Oryctolagus cuniculus: one gene and its partner. The protein of the gene in region 1 interacts with the protein of each later gene in a biochemical or structural test. Links are inferred from orthologs where the notes say so. Each region holds a gene or a part of one and is shown on either strand. Other genes may lie near its edges.

Region 1 (6,999 bases):
GGCCTTAGAGGCCTGAGAGAAGGAGGACAGAAACCTCAGCAGCCGCTCTGGTTCAGTGAATCCCTGTCTATCCCATGGAGTCCCAGCTTCAGGACCTCTGGTCTCCCTTCCATCCCATACTCACAGCATCCTGGCCAAGAGGCGGCAAAGTGTCAAAGTCGTCCAGGGTAGCCTGGGCAGCCTGCACAGCCTGCATGCTGGAGTTAATGGTTCCAGTGAGGGCCTGCTGGGCGGAGGTCTACAAGACACGGAGGAGGAGTGACAGGGACCGGAAGGGACACTGAGAGGAAAGAGAAGGTGAAAGAGAAGTGGAGGCTAGGCAGAGAGATGCAAGCAGGGCCAGGCACCCCCGAGGGTGGGGTCTTCTTACCAGAGGGGGCATGTGTCCCCGGTGCATCTGGCCACTGGTGATCTGCTGCTGGGCAGGGGGCATGCTGCCCACCTGGAAATTCTCCGGACCAGAAGCTCCAGAGCGCATGATGGCGGGCAGGGCCACGGAGCCGTGCTCCACCTTCCCCACCCGGTTGTACTGCTGCTGGAGGACAGTTGACCTGAGCGGAGCAGACCATGGAGCACGCTGAGGACGTCCTCTTCTCCGTCCCCTCCCACCCGCTCACACCACCTCTGTAGGGGCCCTACATCTCATTACAGGCTGTGGTTGGGTAAAGCAGCAGCCAAGGGACTCCCAACCCCCTGCCCCGCACCGTCCTTGGGCTCAGCCTTGCCTTTCCTACTCCTACAGGACTGGGTCAGCCCGACTCCCTTCATACTTTTTGGGGGACACAGAGTCCTCCAGCATAGTAGACTCCTCGTCTCCCTCCAGCCCAAAGTGATCCTTGCTTTTTTTCTGAAGGAAGAAGAAAAAAAGAACAAGAGTTGGAACAGTCAAAGAGGCAGGTGGGGACAAGGTAACCTCTTTTCTCCCCATTCAGCATTTTCTAAGGGGCTGGCTTGGGGAGAAGGTTAAGGGAGAGCAAGACAGCCTAGGGCAGGCCGGGCTCACCTTCTTCAGGATGATATCAATGTAGCCGGCGATGAGCTGTGCAATCTGCTCACCCTCAGTGGTCTGTACTGAGTAGTAGCCATCCTGGTAATCCCCGAAATCCTAGGTGACAAGATGGGGGCTTAGAGGGGAGAGCTTGAGTCCACCCAGGATGGAAATGAGTAGGACGGGAGACCCAAGGTCAAGCTCATGGAGGGGAGTCTTCCCATGCCAACAGCCCCCTAGCAGGAAACCCATCTTTCTCAGACCTATTATTTTTATTTTCTTCCTTAGAGGGAAATATTTTATTTCTGAGGAATGGCCTTTACGTTATATAGTTTTAAATACATGTCACAGGAGCCAGTGCCATGGTGTAGTGGTTAAAGCTGCCTCCTGCAGTGCAAGCATCCCATATGGGCGCTGGTTCGAGTCCCCGCTGCTCCATTGCCGATCCAGCTCTTGGTTATGGCCTGAGAAAGCAGTGGAAGATGGCCCAAGTCCGTGGGCCCCTGCACCCGCATGGGAGACTCGGAAGAAGCTCCTGGCTCCTGATCAGCTCAGCACCGGCTATTGTGGCCATTTGGGGAGTGAACCAGTGATGGAAGACCTCTCTCTCACTGCTCTGTCTCTCTGTAACTCTGCCTTCCTGCCTGCCTTCCTTCCTTCCTTCCTTCCTTCCTTCCTTCCTTCCTTTCTTTCTTTTTTGACAGGCAGAGTAGACAGTGAGAGAGAGAGAGACAGAGAGAAAGGTCTTCCTTTTCCATTGGTTCACCCTCCAATGGCCGCTATGGCCGGTGCACCATGCTGATCTGAAGCCAGGAGCCAGGTGCTTCTCCTGGTCTCCCACGCAGGTGCAGGGCCCAAGGACTTTGGCCATCCTCCACTGCACTCCCAGGCCACAGCAGAGAGCTGGACAGGAAGAGGAGCAACCAGGACAGAATCCGGCACCCTGACCAGGACTAGAACTCGGTGTGCTGGCGCTGCTAGGTGGAGGATTAGCCTATTGAGCCACAGCGCCGGCCAAGTAACTCTGCCTTTCAAATAAAATAAAATAAATCTTAAAAAAAAAAAATCCAAACATGTCACTTAGGAAATCTCCATTACTTTCTCCCTGGCAAGATTGGGAGGACATCCATGCTTGTTATTACGTGACCATACACGAAGGTTGGCATCACAGCCAACATGAAAAAATAGCATTTACTACCATGTCTATTTTCATCATTGGGGCACTTCATCAAGTAGGTATTAGTTTTCAACTCATAACCCAAAATAGAAAGCCATGGGAAAAAACTCTACTGTCTATAATTGTTGCTGAGGATGGGGGTTTGTTTCTCTATCACCTTCCCCCCCAACCCTGCCAAGAATGGCTGTGAGCTCCCCTTGCTGCTTACGCCGTCCCTCTGCTGACTGTAAAGAGTGGGTCTACCACTTGCTGACCGAGCACCACTCCCCTGCGGGGAGGCGGCTTCTCCACCCACTCTCATCCCCATGCTCCGCCAATAGCTCCTAGGTTCCCCCTTTCCCTGGAGTCATGCTCAGTGCAGCTGCCCTTCTCTGGGAATCCTGAAGCCCCTTTTCACTGGAGCCCCCAGACTCACCAGGGTGAAGCTCTTAGGAGAGGCGGCCCAGCGCTTGATGTTGGTGAGGTTCCACTCCTGGATCACCTCCTTGGTCTTCTCATCCACTCGCATCACACACTCCTTGGTGATGCCCAGAAGCCTGGGCACGAGCTTGTTCTTCCCCTTCATCTTTTCCTGTGAGGCAGAGGTTGGCGTGGTTGTTACGCATCAGAGGGCCAAGAAGCGGTGAAAGACCAGATAAGCTCTAGACCACACTGAGGTGGCCGGGAGGGCTAAGTGAGGGTGTCCGTGGATAGGCCCAGGACAAGGCTTTCCTAGGCACAAGGAAAAATCCAGGGTAGGCAGGAGTGTAGCAGAGGATGGGCAACAGGCAGGTTTCACAGAGTCAGAGCAAGGAAGAGAATGGTGGGAAACCTGGCAGATGGCAGTCAGAGACTTGCAGAAACAAGGAGGGCAGGAGGAGGAGGCTGTAACCCACCTTAACCAGGAAGAAGGAGACACCGTAAGTCTTGAGGGAACGGGCTAGCTTCACATAGCGTACCTTGGCCTCAATTTCACTCATCTGCCCACAATTCTTGTGTGCCTTGAAGTATGAAATGGGGAAGAATTTAGCAACATGGGGCATAATATCACAATTTAGGATTGAAGTGGGAAGTTAACTCTAATGGGAGAGTATTATGGGGACACAAAAAAAGTTACATTGGGACACATGACATGAGAAATGAGAGGGGAACAGGACGGGGGCTCACCAGGGATACGCACAAGCAATGATACAAGGGATACGGTTAAGGAACTTGCAAACATTCCAGAGATGTGAATGGACAGTTAGGAAATGGAAGGTCAAAGAGAGAGCCTTTTGGGCGGAGTATACACCTTACGTAGGAACAAGGATTAGGCTTTCCCAACAATTGCAGGTACACTATCTCATCTGATTCTCCTAGCAATCCTATGCAGGGCAGGCACTGTTATCCCATGTTAGAGGCAAAGAAAACAAGAACACTGGATTGAATGCCACGGCAAACAGCCATGGAGCCGAGACCACAGGTCCAAGTCTTTTGCTTTCTTGGCAAGGGAGAGGCAGAAGAGCAGCGTGGTGGGTAGAAGCAGGGGAAGGAGAGGTGGGGGGCAAGGATCCACTTAGTAGGATTAAGCAGCAAAGCTCCCAGGTCACCCCACTTTCCCCTACCCCCATTCACCTGGAAGATCTTACGCTCTCCCTTCTGCTTCACATACTCCTTGGGCAGGAAGTCCTTCAGGCTACACCAGAAAAGGGAGGGTCAGCATGTGGTGGACAGCATCAGGGGCATGTGGGCCATGAACTGTGGGCCTAGGGGTGTGAGGAAATGTCTAGGCCAGTGCTATCTTTAGGGAGAAGGAAGACAGCAAGGGACCTGAGCCTGGTTGTCTTCTGAGGCAGAATGACTTAGCATGAGCCCTTGAATGGGGCTGTGTCCCTCCCTGCAAGGAAGGGACTGATAGAACTTTAAGTTGGAGGCTCAGTCCCCGAGGGAAAGAGGATCTAGAACACCACTTCAGGGAACCAGATGAGAAAGCACTCTAAAGGGATCATCATAGATTTAGGATGCTGAGAAAGCCACACCAAACTCTATGCATTCCAAGAAATACCAGTGGATGAGGTGTGTAAGAACTTCTAATAGGAAGACCTCTACAAGGAAAATTTTATCCTGTTTTCTTTAGGCTATTCCAACAAAATTTTTCAGAGAATCTCAAAACAGCTACATGCTTGCTTCAGGGGGAAGGGCCAGGGCAGAGACACTGGGCTACATTTGGATTCCACACGGGGCCAGTGCAGAGACAAATGGATGACGGCAGCTAAGAAGGTCCCCAGGTGGGTCAAACCCTGGCACCCCTCAGAAGAGGAAATGGAGAGGGTGGAGACAGGGATTCCCGGGCCCAGACAGCATATGCGATGTGGGTCACTCACTCAAGGAAGCCAGCTTTGTGCTTCTGCTCATTGTGGGGCCCAAACTGGATCTGGCACTGGAAGCCGGCGAACTCACAGGCCTTGTCGAAGGAGACAGGATGGGAGCCGTTCAAGATGTCATCTCGCGCCTGCAGAGCACAAGGGGATGGGGCGAATGCAGGCTGTGGGTGAAGGGACACCCCCACTGTGCTTCCGCAGCCCCTGCTGCCCCCAGCCAAGCCTCCACCAGACCTGCACGTAAAGAAGGTTCAGCTGGACAGGGTCGCGAGAATCCACGTTCTGGTCCGAGTAGAAGAACTTCCTCCGCAGCAGCAGCGTCTCGTGCTCCTCCACCCCCTGCTCCCTGAGCGTCCGGCCGTGGTCCAGCCAGTTCACTGGGACACAGACAGGCCTCTCAGTGCTCAACCCATGGCCCCTGGCTGTCCTGTTTACTCCTTCATTTTCCATCTTCCCTCATCTCCCCCTGCCATGGAATTTTATTTATCTGAAAGGCTGAGTGACAGGCAAAGAGAGGGAGGGAGAGAGAGAGAGAGATCTTCCATCTGCTGGTTCACTCCCCAAATGCTTGCAACAGCTGGAGCTGGGCCAGGCCAAAGCCAGGTGCCTGGAACTCCATCTGGGTCTCCCATAAGGGTGGCAGAGACCCAAGTACTTGGGCATCAGCCACTGCGTTCCCAGTTGCATTAGCAAAAACTGGATCGTAAGTGGAGCAGCCAGGACATGAACTGGCACTCTGTTACAGTATGCTGGCAACCCAACTGGCGGCTTAACCCTCTGGGCCACAACGCTAGCATTGCTGTATCCCCAGCGTAACACAGTGCCTTACAAAAGTGGACACTGAATAAATAATCAACAGCTGCCTTTCCAATGCCTCTCCAATGCCCTCTCTTCCGGTTCTGCTTACACTCGTCGTCGGTGTGCAATTTCTGCTTCAGTTTCTCCATCTTCTTTTCATCTCGCAGCAGTGTCTTGTCCTTTCGTAGGGTCCCTGTCACCTCTTCCTTTTTCTCTTCCATCAGTTCTCGGACCAGTGAATACTCGTCATGGTTGGTGATGCCTGGGGGAAGGGACTGGTTTCATAGCTCCCCAGTCTCCTGGCCAAGTCGCAGCACCCCCGCCCCAGCCCAGCCCCTTACCGATGCGGGCACAGATGGTCATGAGCATGTCGGTGACCGTTTTGGAGTCATCCACCATGATGGTCTTCACAGTCCCGTCTAGCATCCGGATCTTCAGGGGTCTCTGTTTCTTCCTGTACTCCATGGTGTCCTGTCAGGAGAGGAAAGGGGCATTCGTTCCTTTCTACTTGGCCAGAGTGGAGGAAGGAGATTCTTATAAGACAGACTATGGTGGCTCATTCAAAACCGGGGTCTTATGGCTCCCTATGATAGGAAACTAGCACGAGCGGGGGACAGGGGCGACACGCGGGTGCTGAAAGCCGGAGGCGGTCCCTGCTGAGGTGGTACTCACCCCGTTCCGGAGCATGTAGTAATCCAAAGCCTTTCCGGCCTCCAGCCATATGCCCTTTTTGGGGTCATCATCCGACAGAAACAGCCCGAAGTCGCTGGCTAAAAGAAAAGATGGGTGACCTCAGACTGACGGAGGCCCCACTGGGACTGGATGGCCGCACCACCACCTCTTACAATTTCTCCCGCGGTCTCAGGCCTAAAAAAGGAGGGAGTGGGGCGCAGTGACCCAAGGTGTGAGGAGCCCTCGGCCACAGCGGGGTCACTCCCTAAGGCTGAGGGCCTGGGGATAAGACTGGACTGAGGACTTCCGCACCAGCCCCCCAGGGAGTGGGACTCACGAGGGCCGACCAGCGCCTCCGGGATCCGCTCCCGAATCATGCGGCAGGCGTCGTACACCATGGTAGACGGCTCAAACTGCATCGTCTTCACCACATTCCCGATGCTGATCTTCAGCGAAAGCGCGACCATGGTGGCGGTGTCTCCTCTGCGGCCTGGCTACACCTGGCCCGTGGTGTCAGGCTATTAGAATAGACTCTCCTCGGAGAAGAGGCCCCCAGGTGGTGGAGACTCAGGGATTCACCAGAGCTGACAGTAATAAGGCTGTCTCTATCTTATAATTTTAAAGAGGAAACAGTAATTTACATCAGAAGGACCAGCCCTGACCACTGAAGACCTCCGAGGGAGAGACTGGGACACGAAGTGTAAGGGCAGGTCTGAAACGCGGGGTCACCCGAGGACACCGCCCTGCCCTCTCCAGGGGAATCTGGGCCACCTGTCTTTCTTTCAAGGGCCCATTTTGCCCCCTGACCCTGCTTACTTCCTTTCCCAGCCTGCCCCTGCCTTGTTTTCATGTTTCCCAGTCCAGTATTTTTCTCTTTGCCTCCCCATGGATGCACTGCACCCTCCCTAGTGTGGGATTTTCAGAGCCCTGTCTCAGCTCATCACATGACCTTCCCTCTCACAGCTTCCTTCTCTGCAACATGAAGACGTTATATGAGATCATTCCCAAGGGCTCTGGAGGCCTGC
Region 2 (6,999 bases), on another chromosome or scaffold:
CCTTTCTCTCTCTTTCTCTCTCTCACTGTCTAAATCTGCCAGTCCAAAAAAAAAAAAAAAAAAATCAGCATACTAATTCTAAAATGTATACAGAAAGTGAAGAACTAGGTAAGAGTTTCAAAACTTTTTGGAAGAGCACAAAGTTGGAGGACTCACATGACCTATTTTCAAGGCTGGATAGGCCGGCACCGCGGCTCACTAGGCTAATCCTCCGCCTAGCAGCGCCGGCACACCGGGTTCTAGTCCCGGTCGGGGTGCCGGATTCTGTCCCGGTTGCCCCTCTTCCAGGCCAGCCCTCTGCTGTGGCCAGGGAGTGCAGTGGAGGATGGCCCAGGTGCTTGGGCCCTGCACCCCATGGGAGACCAGGAAAAGCACCTGGCTCCTGGCTCCTGCCATCGGATCAGCGCGGTGCGCCGGCCGTAGCACGCCGGCCGTAGCACGCCGGCCGCGGCGGCCATTGGAGGGTGAACCAACGGCAAAGGAAGACCTTTCTCTCTGTCTCTCTCTCTCACTGTCCACTCTGCCTGTCAAAAAAAAAAGACTGGATAGAAAGCTACCAATGTATGGCATGGCTCCAGCACACAGGCAGAGACAACAAAAAAACAGTCCTACCCATGCACAAAGGCGGGGAAAGACAGTGTTTCCAACCAACAGAAGCCACTCCCCATGCTAAGATACAATCTAATACCTAAGCTGTTCTTAGACACAACAGTAACAGAAGATCCAGGAAAAAAAACCTTGGTCGACAATTCGTCACAATCCAACTTCTGGTGTTCAACAGACACTGCCGAAGAACAACAGTGGGCAGCACTTGCCAGCGGCTGTCTGATAATGCAGAAGAGGACACTGACCTCAGAACCACTGGGCAGCTTCTCACCAAGTTCAACACAGGCTTGCCACCTGCTCCAAAGTCCCATTCCCACATTTACTTGAGAGCAACAGGACTTGTGTGCACAAAAACCTGCATACTCATGAGAAAAATTCCCAAGAATCTATTAAAAAAAGCTACTAGAAAAGCCAATAAAAAATGTTCCATTGGCTGAGACCTTGAACAAATTCAATACTTTATTATATCCTTTCACAAATTATCCTCCTCAGTATCCAAGCCCAAATTAAACTCTAATCTAAACGTCCCCAATGACGACATAACTCTTATCCCGCATGTCCTACATGCCTTGTATCACTTCTCACTTTTAATCTGCATATTCCCTACTGAGCAAACCTAAACCCTCTCTTCTCCTGCTTCTTCTCCAGTTAATTAACTACTACTCTAAGCTGTAAGAGATGAGAAATTGCCCAGCTTGGACCTGGACAGTCCAGCTGACGCTGTTTCTTGGTGTCAGGGAATCTGACGAGGCCTAACCAGGACGGACACAGGCGAGGACAGGGTTCCTGACCTGGAGTCTCCACGACGTGCACGATGGCCTCGTTGTTCCCGTTCACCGAGTACGTGAAGTAGAACCAGCAGTCGTCCACATCCTTCTCCTTACAGTGGGACAGGGGGTCCACCTGGCCTGGCTGGGGCAGCTTGTCCCGATTTTCCACCTTGGTGATGTTGAAATGTGAGCATTCCTGTGCACATTTGTCTTTCTTTTCTCCTTTATTGAAGGCTCGGCACTGGACACATTCTCTGAGGATACAAACCGCTGCATTACACATGTGCTGTTTAAAAGGTCAACATTTTCTTAAACATTAACCTTGCGTGCTAAACTCTGGTGACTGAATTCAACTAGGAGCTACAAAAGAACTGCAGAGGCATGCTATTCCTCAATGGGAAACCACATCGGAAGATGACAGTCTCTGGGAGTGGGCATTTAGCCTAGTGGTTAAGGCACCCACACTGGAATAGGTGAGTTTGATTCCCAGCCCCAGATCCTGACTCCAGTTTCTCCCAACACCGACCCTGGCAGGCAGCCATGATGCCCCAAGTATGTGGCTTCCTGTCACCCATGTCTGAGACTTGGAAAACATTCCCAGTTCCTGTGTTCAACACAGCTTAGTCCTACCCACTGCGGGCATCTGGGTTGCTCTCTCTCAAATTAATAAGAACTTTTAAAAAGACTGGTAGTTTCCCCAATGAAATTATAAATTCATTAAAGTTCAAGCTGAAAATGCAATTAAAAAAAGGTAATAAAACTAGCCCTGTGACATAGTAAGTATGTAACACAAGACCAAAGTAACCTAAGTAGTGTGTTACTGGGACAATAGTGATGCTTCAAGGGGAAAGCCTTCCATTTGGCCAAGTCAGAAGATAGTACATCAGGGGCCAGCACTATGGCCATTTGGCCAAGTCAGAAGATAGTACATCAGGGGCCAGCACTATGGCGTAGTGGGTAAAGCAAGCCACCACCTGCAGTGCTGGCACCCGTTCAAGTCCTAGCTGCTCCTCTTAGATCCATCTCTCTGCTGTGGCCTGGGAAAGCAGTAGAAGATGGCCAAGTCCTTGGGCCCCTGCACCCACGTGGGAGACCCAGAAGCTCCAGGCTCCTGGCTTCAGATCGGCCCAGCTCCAGCCATTGCGGCCATTTGGAGAGTGAACCAACAGATGGAAGATCAATCTCTCTCTCTGCCTTTCAAATCAATCAATCAATAAACTTTAAAAAAAAAGTATTTCAGCAATTTAACAAAGGTAACAATAGATTTAATTACATAGTAAACTTGAATCAAAATAATCTTACAACTCTAACACACTTCAATATCCTGTAACGGGCACTAGCTAATAAGAAAGAGTTTTCACGAATTAAAGAGTGGGTTTCCACATGGCAGACACTGTATTTATAGCATGCTCAACAGGGGCCCTGCTCCAGTTCTGGTGATCACACACAGTTAAGCATCAACGCCTTCAAATAATTAGGAGATACGTACTTGTGCTCCGCACAGACACCCAGGCAGGTCTGGCACATCTCACAGGTTTGCCCTTGAAACTTGGGATCTGTACACTTGCAGACGCCACACTCGCAGATACCCCGGCCATTACAGATCTGCCCGTTTGTGGCCATGCAAGACGTCGTATCCAGAGAACAGTCGCACGCACTGCCGGTGTAGTTAGGATTGCACTCACACACACGACACTTGCAAACACCATTTCCTGCGATTAAAAATACCATGTCACAAACTAGGATTAAAAACATACAATCACAGCACTGACTCAGAAGTAAAAGGGAGTCACAATATGGAAGGAGTGGGTCCAAGGGACGGACTGAGCCCTCTAATTCCTCGAGACTTTTTGTCACTCCAGTGGGATCACTTCACATCTCAGACCCTTTCCTCACCTCCACAAATTAAGCCATTGGAGCGATCACAGTTGAAATTATCACACTCGCAGAATTTGCCAGAATAGATTTCATTTGTGTTGTCCCTCTTCCTGCACACACACTGCCCACAGACGCACTCCCCGTTGTTGCTGCAGATTTCTGAACTGTTTTCTTTCCTGCAGTAAGCATCCATGTCTTCACTGTTCACCTCATCTGTACTGCATTCACAGTGTCTGCCTACACGTCCCTCGTTGCACCTGAACAAAGATTCCAAAATTGCACTTGCATAAAATAAAAATAACCTACAATCGCAAACCATGGGAGAGGCAACGAAACTATGAACAGTCTCTTCATGCTGCAAATAATAAATAGAAAAATATCTGGAGAAACAGAATAAACTTAATTGTAAATATGGTAGCTGTAATTTCAAATGATGTGCTATTACAATTGTAACTACATGAACTATGGCCCCATTGTAACCTTAAAAGTACAAGAAACATATGCAAGAAAGAGCAAGAAGCTGAATAAAAATGAACAGAGCACTGACTGAAAATATAGTATGCTGTTTAAAAACAAACTTATCCCACTGGCCCAGACTTTTCAGATGCCATGTACATTTCTAGAACAACTTATGCTCATGGACACTGCAAGCTGATTCTACATATACAGAAAGGGACGAAAGAGATGGCATTTTCAGGGCATTTTCAAGGCATTTTCGTTGAATGATGTCTCACTAAAAACAGATCTGCATGACTCCAAGAGGGTATGTACAACATGGAAAGAGAGAACTGTAACATCTGAACTTCTGTAGGACAGCCAGTTGGTGTCACTGACAGTGAAGACGGCACATGTCTTCCTCGTGGTTAACACCCTGCTGGCCCAGTCATCTGCAGTCGACATCTAGATCAAATGTCCCAGTCTCCTTTAAAGAGAAAACTATGTTCGGAATATACTGAGTTTTAATTTTTAATTTAAAAAGTAACCAAAGTGTGAAAATATTTGAAATACTTGGACTAAAGTTATTAGTAGTATATTCTATGTTCTGAAAAATAACTTGCTTTTTAATTTTACAACACATACTTATTTTTAAGAAATCATTCCAACAATGTGGAAGGTGGACATACTTGAAGGCTTCCCAATTCTGTTTCCCAGAGAAAGCCACCACTATCGGTTTCACGTTTTTCCAAAAACATGTTTCAATGCTATTTCCAAAATTTTACATAAACTTACTCTGCTCTACAAAGGCTGCACTTCTATCTCACGACAGAAAAACCAAGTGCTGTCGTAACAGTTTGCTGGATACACAGCTTGAGAGACTGCGCAGTCTCATTTTAAAGAGCAGTCTTGTTAAGAGACAGGTGAGAGAGCTCTCTGTAAATACCACACACAAGACCATCAAGTTCATCGTGTGGTGAGCAACAGTGCCCGGGACAAATCATGTCTCTGCTCCAAGCGGAGATCTTCTGTGGCTGTCCTGACACACAGCCTGCCCCTCGCTCTCCAGGCAGTGCACATCTGGGCACACTCCAACAGTCCTGGCTCACCTGCAAGCCCCACACTCAAACGTGCCATTCCCATCGTGGCACTGGGGACTTCTCGGGATGCCTGTGTCCTGGCACTCACACTTGCAGATGAACTCAAGGACCACCTCCACCTCCTCGGTGAAGCCCAGAGGCTTGATTTTAATGGTTTCAGAATGCTTAACTGGACACTGATTTGAAGTTATGCTGATTTCAAAGTGAACCTTGAAGGAAAAAAGCAAGATTAAGTGAACAATAAGCTAAGCAACATGAATCTGCTAAAAACTATCTCAAAAACCCACTCATTTCTTTTTAGTATGTTTCAAATCATGAACTGCATTTGCTTATAAATAAGCAATACCTCATCTCCAATGGAGATATTGGAGCACTTCCTTCCGTTCTCCCCTGTGCCATTCACCCCGTTCTTGCAGTAAGATTTGTAATTTATCGTTACTCCTTCTGGCAATTTGCTGTTTTCCAAAATGACTTCTGAAGAAAGGGACTAAAAGAAAGACTAATTATACACAAGAAAGTTGAAATGCTCCTGGGATGCATAAGATGACCAGTCAAGACAGTATTGTAAAGTCTTACAAAACACAAACAGGCACTGGTTAATAAGGGTCTCATCTGTAGAACCACCTACATGGTTGAAAGGGCATTCTGTTCCTACAACGAGGTAAAACAGCAAGGATCGTGCAGTCCCAAGGCCTGATACTGACGAGGAGGAGTGTGTTCCTTACCCCCTGGGCAAAGTCTCCAGGTCCTCAACTCACTATGGCCAAGGCACTCTACTGCGCAGTCTGGGAGCGACTGTGCTTGGAAGCCACTGTAAGCCTGGCCAGCAAAGACTAAAAACTCTTAAGGGGGAAAGACTCAAGCTAGTGCGGGCAGTCAGCCTAGAGGTTAATAATGATGCCCACACCCTACAAGTGGGTTTGAGGATGGCCTCTGGCTTCTGATTCCAACCTCCTGCCAATGCAGACCCAGGTGTGCGGCAGTGCTAGCTTCCTGCCAACCATGTGGGACACCGAGTTCTCTGCTCCCAGCTTCAGCCCAGCACAGTCCCAGCCTTGTGGACATCTGGGGAGTGAACCAGTAGATGGGAGTTCTGTCTGTATATAAACGAACATTTTGTAAAAACTCCGACCTCTCAGAACAATGAGGGCTGCAGTAGCAAACTACCTGTTGCTCACACTCTTAATAAAGATCAAAGTTGGGAAAACAGTCTGTTGAGAAAAAACAGCTGGGGGAAGACAAAGGAACTACTGGAATCTTCAAAGTTGCTGGGTGGCATCCGCCCTACTGGTTACAACACTAACTAGGATGCCCACGACCCACACCACATGCCTGGGTTTGACTGCCAGCTGGCCAGTTCCTGATTCCAACTCTAGGAGACAGCAGTAATGACTGAAGTCGCTGGGTTCCTGCCACCAACATGGGAGACCTGGATTGAGTTTCCAGCCCCAGCTTTGGCCCCCGAGCCCTTATGGGTATTAAGGGTGTTAACCAACAAATGGAAACTCTCAAAAAAAAAGTTAAAAAACAAAGCCCAGTCCATCTTTCTGACTCAGCTCTTTCCAAAACATTTTTAGACTCCCACTGCAAAAAAACATCAAAAATTTAACCAACCAAAGGGTGAGTGGGGTGAAAGTATACAGTGCATTTCCAAACCACTGCTAAGCAGTGCTTCCTGAGAGCCATTAACGGTTTTCTGAATTGAGATCTAGAGAGAGCACAGTTCCTCTCTGACTTCACCTCACCTGCACATGTGCAGAAAAAACAATCCTATAAGCCTGTTAAAATAATCAAGCTGCAGACAAGTACATGTTTACAGTTTACGCATTCTATGCTGTATGTAGCGATGAATGTGTGTACTCCCCCCTAAAAACAGAAAACATGTTCTCTGAATGTGTGGAAGGAAAGAAACAGCCGAAAAGCTTTTCTACCACAATTCACCAAAATAGAAGAATCTATAAAGAACACTTTGGAGGGAGAGGATGGCTGGGCCCCTACAGATCAGACGTCAGTTACACATCACACCTGCTTTGTTTCCCCACAGGGACATCTCACTTGGTGATGTACAGACTTGAGGTTTTCCCACATGGCTCTGTCACGTTTTTGCTTTGTTTAGACTATGCTTCTCTGAGACAATATCAAGTTTTCCCCCAGATACAGCACATAAGTTGTGTGTTATCCTCTGGGCTTCCCAGCCTGTGTTCTAAGGA

What was found.
Region 2: the proteins of TLN1 (region 1) and ITGB1 form a complex in vitro, tested with the Homo sapiens proteins (3 studies listed by BioGRID and IntAct, with this or other methods). The link is inferred for Oryctolagus cuniculus from reciprocal best matches to the Homo sapiens genes TLN1 and ITGB1.

The regions. Positions count from the first base shown.
Region 1 is NC_091432.1:198,628,746-198,635,744, forward strand, and holds part of TLN1 (talin-1), read right to left. Parts: intron 6,475-6,999; 5' UTR 6,442-6,474; coding exon 6,312-6,441; intron 6,073-6,311; coding exon 5,975-6,072; intron 5,774-5,974; coding exon 5,644-5,773; intron 5,565-5,643; coding exon 5,412-5,564; intron 4,882-5,411; coding exon 4,739-4,881; intron 4,636-4,738; coding exon 4,508-4,635; intron 3,820-4,507; coding exon 3,759-3,819; intron 3,146-3,758; coding exon 3,041-3,145; intron 2,737-3,040; coding exon 2,581-2,736; intron 1,106-2,580; coding exon 1,004-1,105; intron 848-1,003; coding exon 771-847; intron 552-770; coding exon 371-551; intron 239-370; coding exon 125-238; intron 13-124; coding exon 1-12. UniProt on the Homo sapiens protein: High molecular weight cytoskeletal protein concentrated at regions of cell-matrix and cell-cell contacts. Involved in connections of major cytoskeletal structures to the plasma membrane.
Region 2 is NC_091444.1:108,927,258-108,934,256, reverse strand, and holds part of ITGB1 (integrin beta-1), read right to left. Parts: intron 5,277-6,999; coding exon 5,136-5,276; intron 4,999-5,135; coding exon 4,799-4,998; intron 3,512-4,798; coding exon 3,273-3,511; intron 3,089-3,272; coding exon 2,866-3,088; intron 1,631-2,865; coding exon 1,398-1,630; intron 1-1,397.